Macaca fascicularis: one gene and its partner. The protein of the gene in region 2 interacts with the protein of the main gene of each other region in a pairwise test. Links are inferred from orthologs where the notes say so. Each region holds a gene or a part of one and is shown on either strand. Other genes may lie near its edges.

Region 1 (3,917 bases), on a different chromosome or scaffold from region 2:
TCAGTGGGGCCTCCCTCAACCACCCTACTTCAGAATATGATCCCCAGGGGTCTGGGCCCTCCCTATCCCCTTTGCCTACTTAATTTTTCTCCAGAACTTTCCAGCATGGTCTGTCCTTTGCTTATGTATTTTGTTGTCTGTCTCTTAAACTCCATGAGGGTAGCGCTCTCTGTCTGTCTTGCTCACTTAGAAATCTCTAGCACAGTCACTTGGCACAGAGTAGGTGCTCAATAAATATTGACCTGACTTGCATTCTGGGTGCATACAGTTAGGGACTTGGGGTGACCAGCGGCTCTCAATGGAACAAGCCTTTTCTCACAGAGCCCACTGCCTGCTCAGCCTCGGAGATCCTGGCTGACAAGTGCCTCCTGTTGGGGCCAGATTCCTGAGAAAACCCCACTCTTCCAGCAAACTGCATGTCCGGGAGGGAGCCACTTAAGTCCCGGCCTCTCCTGGATGGAGAACCAGTGAATCTTGGAAGACTCTTTTTTTTTTTTTTTTTTTTTTGAGATGGAGTTTCACTCTTGTTGCCCAGGCTGGAGTGCCGTGGTGCAATCTTGGCTCACTGCCACCTCCGCCTCCAGGGTTCAAGCAATTCTCGTGCCTCAGCCTCCTGAGTAGCTGGGATTACAGGAGCATGCCACCATGCCTGGCTAATTTTTGTATTTGTATTTTTTATTTTTTGAGACGGAATCTCACTCTGTCGCTCAGGCTGGAGTGCAATGGCGCCATGTTGGATCACTGTAACCTCTGCTTCCCAGGTTCAAGTGATTCTCCTGCCTTAGCCTTCCGAGTAGCTGGGTTTACAGGCACCCCACCATCATGTCCGGCTAATTTTTGTATTTTTGTAGAAACGGCGTTTCACCATGTTGGCCAGGTTGGTCTCCAACTCCTGACGTCAGGTGATCCGCCCACCTCGGCCTCCCAAAGTACTGGGATTACAGGGATGAGCCACATGCCCAGCCTAATTTTTGTATTTTTGGTAGAGATGGGGTTTCACTATGTTGGCCAGGCTGGTCTCGAACTCCTGACCTCAAGTGATACGCCCGCCTCGGCCTCCCAAAGTGTTGAGATTACAGGTGTGAGCCACCGCGCCCGGCTGGAAGACTCTCAATAATAATAAATAATAGTAATAACAGTAACAGTGGCAAGCATTTATGCTTGCTGGCCTTTCCCCCTGGGTCTGTATTAAGGGCTTCACATCCAATATCTCACTTAAGTCTCAGATCGTTCTGAGACCCATGATACCCATTTTATACCACATTATACCCATTTTAAAGATGAGAAAACAGGCTTGGAGAATGTCCGTAGTAGTCCTACCATTTCCTGCGACTTCCTGGAGCCTGGCCCACAGAGGAGGGCTCAGGAAGGACGCTTTCCTTCCTCGCCCTAGGGAACAGGGAGGGACCTGAGCGCTGGCGTGGAGGGTGGGGGAGCCTGAAAGGCCCGGGCGCTGGGTGCGCGGGAGCGAGCGTGCGTGCTTGGCGCGAAGGCTCCTGGCGCAGGCAACCCGACCGCCCAACCGCGCGGTGGCTTGCCTGAGGGGTGGGGCGGCCGCCTCGGGTCCTGACGTCGGGCGCCCTCCGGCCGTCACTCAGCGCTCGGCCCCGCCCCGCCGCGGCTGCAGCAGCAGCGCCGAGGCCGGAGGAGCCACCGCCGCCACCACCGCCGCCACCGCCACCGCCTCCCGGGACTCGGAACCCAGCGCTCGGAGCCATGGCCTCGACCCCCGCGGGTAAGGGGCTGCGGGACACGGGGGCGGCGGGAGGGCAGCGCCCGGCCCCCGCACCCACCCTAGGCTAACCCGCGGCTCTCGCGTCTTGTCCCACAGAGGCGGAGACCCGACAGAGGCTTCTACGCACCGTCAAGAAGGAGGTGGGTGCCGGGGTGGGGGCGCTGGGCAGGTTTCCCCCGGGCAGGGGGCAGCACAGCCAAACGGGAAAAGAGCCTCCGTGGAAGGGTGGCCTCTGGCGGTGGGGGGGGCGGCCAGACCAGGTGTGGGACTCACCTGGGTAGGCATTGACCTCCCGCAGGGCAGGAGGCGCAGCGAGGGAGTTTGGGGATCGGTATAGGCGTGGGGAGGCTTTGGCCCATTTGAGGCTTTGTGCGGGGGCGGATGCAGCGTGAGGCCCCTCCAGGTGTGGGACCCACCTGGCTATGTCCCAGTAGAACGTCCTGTTGTGGAGGAGCAAGCAGGTGGGTGCGGTTCAGGAAGGGGATCTTCCAAGAGAGACTAGCTGCTGGGGGGACCCCCCACAGGGTGTGCTGGGGGAGGGGCCCTGAGAGGGCTGCCGAAGGTGGGGCACCCTTTGGGAAAAGGGAGAGGGAAAATAAAGCCTCCCTCCCCAGCCCCCAAATTCTCAGTCCTTGGAGCCACCTCCAGGAGCCAGGGGACTCCCTCTCACTGATCCGGAGAGTCCCGGGTCAGTGAGCTGCTCACCTGGCAGTAGGGGTCCCTTCACCCCCTACCCCACACACTCAGAGGTGAGAATCAGAAAGGTTCTGCCATTTTTCTGCCCCTCCACTCTCCCTGGGGTCAGCGCGGGGGCCCAGTCTAATCTTTAGGGGTCATGACCAAAGACCTCCCAGAACCCCATAGACAGGGATAATTTGTAGTCCTTGGGGCCTGGGGTAGCATTTCCATGCCTGGACTGTGTGCTCTGCTGCGTACGCCTGCGTGGGTGAGGACCTGTGGCTGTGAGTATGTGCATATGAGAATGTCTGTGTGTCTGGAGATACCTAAGTGTATCTCTTTGCATTGTGTGTACACATATCTATGTGTGTCTGTGTATCTGTTTTTGTGAGAGTGGGTCTATGTGTGTGTATTGTGTGGTGCATGAGTCTGTGTGAATGAGTGATGCTGTGACTGTGCGTGTGTATCTTGAGTGGGTGTGTGGCATGTGATGCATGAGTCTGTGTGAATAACTAGGGCTGTGACGCCGTGTGTGTGCGTGTTGCCCTGTGTGTTGCCCTCCCCATTCTTCAGCCTCAGACCCCATTGCTGCTGTGTTTTTGTCACTTTTTAACCTTATGAGCACTTAGCCCAAGGCCTCGAATGGCAGCAGACCTTGTGGGCTGGCCTGGTTTGTGGGCCTGGCTTTCAGTGCGTGTGTGTGTGTGTGTGCGCGTGTGTGCATGTGTATGTGTGTTGTGGGTGTCGGCTGAGGTGGCAGCATCAAGCATCACTGATGACCCGTCCTTCCCTGCACAGTGGCAGACAGCCACCAAGGGCAGCCTGGAGGCTTGGACCTGTTGCTGCCCCTCCCTCCTCGGGGAGCATGAGTATGTGTCTGTGTGTATATGTGTCTGTGTGTGGCATGTCCTATTTTGTTTAAAGAATGAGCTCCAGGGCTGCTTGGCACATTCTAGCATTTTCGAATGAGACATGCAAAATACATTAGATCCCTCAGAAAGGTCCAGAAGTGTTCAGCTCAGCCTTTGTATAGGCTCCTGTGGGTACTCCAAGGGAGGTCTGTCTAGAACCTCTCTTTTTTTTTTTTCCTGAGACGGCATCTCGCTCTGGGGCCCAGGATGGAGGGCAGTGGCACAGTCTCCGCTCACTGCAAACTCTGCCTCCCAAGTAGCTGGGGCTACAGGTGCCCACCACCACACCCAGCTAATTTTACTATTTTTTTTTTTTTTTTTTTTAGTGGAGACTGGGTTTCACTGTGCTAGCCAGGATGGTCTCGATCTCCTGACCTCATGATCCGCCCACCTTGGCCTCCCAAAGTGCTGGGATTACAGGCGTGAGCCACTGTGTCTGGCTTAGAACTTCTTTTCAACAGAACTCAGACCAACAACATTCTTGTGACTATTTCAGGGGAGGGGCACGTACCTTGCAAAGCACCTGCTGTCTTTTTGTTCATGGTTTAACCAGACCTACATGTAATATGTAGATGTTTTTGCCTGAGGCAGCT
Region 2 (3,817 bases):
GGCATAAAGTCTCTAACTACTCACTCTGCCATAGCAGCACAAAAGCTGCATAAAAGAATGGGTGTGGTGGTGTACAAGCAGCAGCTGAATTTGGTCCAAAGGCTATAATTGCTGACTTCTGTCCTAGACAAAATTACAATTTACCACATAGTACTATAGCCTGTTGTCACCTATATGTACACTGTAAACTCCCTGAAAGAAGAACCTCTTAGTAACTTTTAATTACGTCTTCTTCCCAACCCCAGTACAGTACCTAATACCAAAAAATTCAGTGTTAAATAAGCAAAATGAAGACAATAATACACTATTATAATCTGAATCAGCAATAAGTAGTATATGTCAAAAATAGTGTACAAACGTTTGACTTATGTTGGTGTTAAAGACAGAATTCCTAAAACATCTATGTTACTCACTAGCCTCAGGTTGTCTTGACTCTAAACTTACATTAAATATATTTTAAAGCTTTTTTCCAGTACTAGGAAGAATCTATAATAGTTAACTGCCAAACTTCATCCAGATATATCTGTGGAACAGTATCCTTGAGTAGTTCATAAAACTAGGACTCAAATGTTAAGATTTAGAATCATTTGTCCCAAAGTACAAAACATATTAATCTGTGGTCAGTGATTAGTTAAAAATAATCAACAAAAGGGGAAATACATAGTTCTTGACTGATTCCCAAACAGTAATAAATTTTTATTTTACACCTGGTACTCTCCATAGGTAGCCTTAAGATAGCTAAGATAGGTGTTGACCCTGTCAAAAGGTTAATCTTTGAGTGTCAAAGCTGAAGTTTAGCCACATCTATTTATTCTAAAGGAACCCAGTATTTCTGCTCTGTTAATAACATAGAACAGATAGGGCATCAGGAAAAAGTGGAGGTGGCATGGGATTCTGGTCCCAACTGCCAATAAAAAATCACAATTTCAAAATTGTATTCATTTAAGATGAAATAAAATATTTTGTAAAATTATTAGTGATGATATAGTGCTTACAATAGCCTTTATGAAAAAAAGTCAATAAAAAGTATACACAGAGTCTATTTTATGTCCCAGTGATGCATATATGATTATTTTGAGCCCCTGAAACAGAGACAATTTTTTAAAGTAATAATAATAACAAATGCTTAGTAGCACTTACAACATGCTAGGCCCTTTTCTAGGTACTTTACATGTTATTAACTTAATCCTCAGAAGAATCTCATGAGAGAGTACAATGATCCCCACCTTATAGTTGAAAATGAGGCACAGGGTATTAAAAAGACCAAGTTCCAGAGCTATAAAGTGGCAAAACCAAGGTATGAACCAACAGAATCTGGTTCCAAGTGCTAAACCACTATACTGTACTAAACATACCTGGATTATAGCTCCTTCCTAATAGTATCATTTCCACTGTATCCTAACATCTTGTTTCTACAAATAAACAATCTAAGGTAAAACTAGGAATACTACGATTATAAACTTCAGGAGAGTGTCCATTCTGGGAGAACAAAAGGTGGCTCTCTCCTTCTCCTCAAATAAAAAATTCTACAAATTAGAGGAAAAAAAGGAAAATGTCCCCAACAGACAAGTTGCCTCTCTAAACAGTCATATATTAGTTCGTAAGTTGAGTATCTTCTGTGCTGTATTTTTTCTTTTAGGTTTATCATTTATTTTCCATCTCAACTGCTTTTGACTTGAGCGTTTGGATTCAAAAAACTAATGACATGAATCTAAATTTTCTCTGCGTATACTAATTGCCATTTCTTTTTGCTTCCCATATTGCTTCTTGATGAATATTTAAAAGAAGGGGTTTGTGTATATAACAGAATTTGTTTCCAAATATCTTAAAATACTTATATGATGTGCTTATATCGTGACCCATTGGTTTAGGGGGAAAAAAATAGAAATAAACCTGAATATTTATATATTTTGTAGGTAATATCCTAGACAATAGTAACGCCCTTGCCTTCCAGACTCTTCTATTTTGAAAAAGCCTGCTCTATGTATGCTATAAATAATTCACTAAAATCAACTACACAAAAATTTAGCCATATTAAGCCTATGACACATTATCTTCAGTTGGTGGTACCAGGATGTTTTCTCCTGCTTGCAGTATGCCCACTGCCTCCTTTACTACTACCCTCTAAACAGATGACTTTATCCACTAAGATCAAGGTCATCCAGAGGATGTAGCCTCTCATAAACTTTGTCAACCTGAAGTCACGCATTTCATCTAGGGCCAAAGATACCAACTACTACCAGTTCCCTCTTCTCCCACTTAGCCAGCAAAAATCACATACCAGAAAGGTCTTGGGAAACATTTTCCAAACAGCAGGATATCAAATTTTCTGTTTTACTGAGCAAAAATAATTTTTTGATCACCCTTCAAGTTTTATCACATAATATAAATACAAATAACTTGGAAAAGCATCTTTCCATAAAAAGCTACACAGTAGTTCCTTGGCTAGAATCTTCACAACAAAACAAAAGACAAAACTATAAATCTCAGAGCAAAGCCATATTTTTTCTTTGAAAATGAAAAAAGTAAAATAACCCAAACAAAACTGAGTAAGAGTCACATTATACACCAGTGTTCTATAAGAAAATTCCATAACCTAGAGAATTTAAAATTTAAAAAGTCATATTAATCAGACAATTTCCTAACAGCTGCTGATTACAAAGACTATTAAAATACACACCAACTTCATTAAAATCTTCAAAGGTGATTTTCCCTGTGGCTTCTCTGTCATAATCTTTAAGAATCTTCAGTACATCAGCTTTTTTTACATCAAACCCCAAGGCTCTCATTGCCACCTTTTGGATTAAAAGGGAAAAGCAAATTATAAAGCAATCTTTACAAAAGAATTTCTAATTATTAAGTTTTTACATCTTAAGAGATAAAAACACATTAGTAAAATATAACTTTTTTGCATGTTTTACCTCTTTAAAATAGTAGTGACAGTGTAATTGTTCTTCACTACTGAAATTATGTATAAGTTTTTTCATTTATAAATTGCATTTTTATATGACAAAGTAACCAACAAGTGTTTACTATATAAAATGCACTAACTTACTGCACAGATAATTTGACTGCTATTTGTTATCACGGGAATAACAACCAAAATGAGAAAAAGGCATAGCATAAATATTAAAGTTATATGATAGAAGAGATAAAACATTAAAATAAGAATTATCATCAGCATCTCCATGATTAGTTATTAGGTTAATAATAGGGCGAAGGACCCTGAGTTTAGACAAAAAAGAGACTTTGTTACTAGTAACAAGGAAGGAAACATGTTACTGACTAGGTAAGTCTTATTTGGAAAGATTCAAGTTGTTCCTTGAAGGACAGATGAAGAGGAGCAGTAGGGCATTTGGGAAGGATGACTAGTATTAAAAGAAACACTGAAATGAACAATAGGTTTGAAGGACAACGAACAGAGCAGTTTACCTCACCTGAATTAGAAGAGTTCAGGTGAGATAAACTGCTCACCTGGATTAGAAGGTGAATTCCACGTGAATTAGAAGAGTTTGGGAGGAAGAAAGCAGTTAGCAAATGAAAAAAGTAGTTGGTGGCAAAAGTGTAGAGAACATTCAGTAGAAAGCAAAGGAATCTGAACTTTAAGTAGTATATAATGAGGAGTTATTAATAGTAAAGGCTTATGAGCAACGAACAATTTATAAGCAATGGTGAAAGATTTTTTAAACTATCTAAATTCAGTGGTAGTAGTATACAAGGTGAACTACAAGTAGACAAACCATTTAGGAAGCTCCAGGTATGAAATAAGGTCTGAAACCAGTCAATGGTTACTAATGGAAGAGACACTATAAAGGAA

Evidence for each region.
Region 1: the proteins of CETN3 (region 2) and SGSM1 interact in binary tests that used the Homo sapiens proteins (3 or more experiments, as listed by UniProt). The two-hybrid records come from large-scale screens. The link is inferred for Macaca fascicularis from reciprocal best matches to the Homo sapiens genes CETN3 and SGSM1.

Annotation. Positions count from the first base shown.
Region 1 is NC_088384.1:26,367,371-26,371,287, forward strand, and holds the start of SGSM1 (small G protein signaling modulator 1), read left to right. Parts: upstream 1-1,592; 5' UTR 1,593-1,716; coding exon 1,717-1,735; intron 1,736-1,831; coding exon 1,832-1,875; intron 1,876-3,917. UniProt on the Homo sapiens protein: Interacts with numerous Rab family members, functioning as Rab effector for some, and as GTPase activator for others. Promotes GTP hydrolysis by RAB34 and RAB36.
Region 2 is NC_088380.1:94,401,610-94,405,426, forward strand, and holds part of CETN3 (centrin-3), read right to left. Parts: intron 2,796-3,817; coding exon 2,681-2,795; intron 1-2,680. UniProt on the Homo sapiens protein: Plays a fundamental role in microtubule-organizing center structure and function. As a component of the TREX-2 complex, involved in the export of mRNAs to the cytoplasm through the nuclear pores.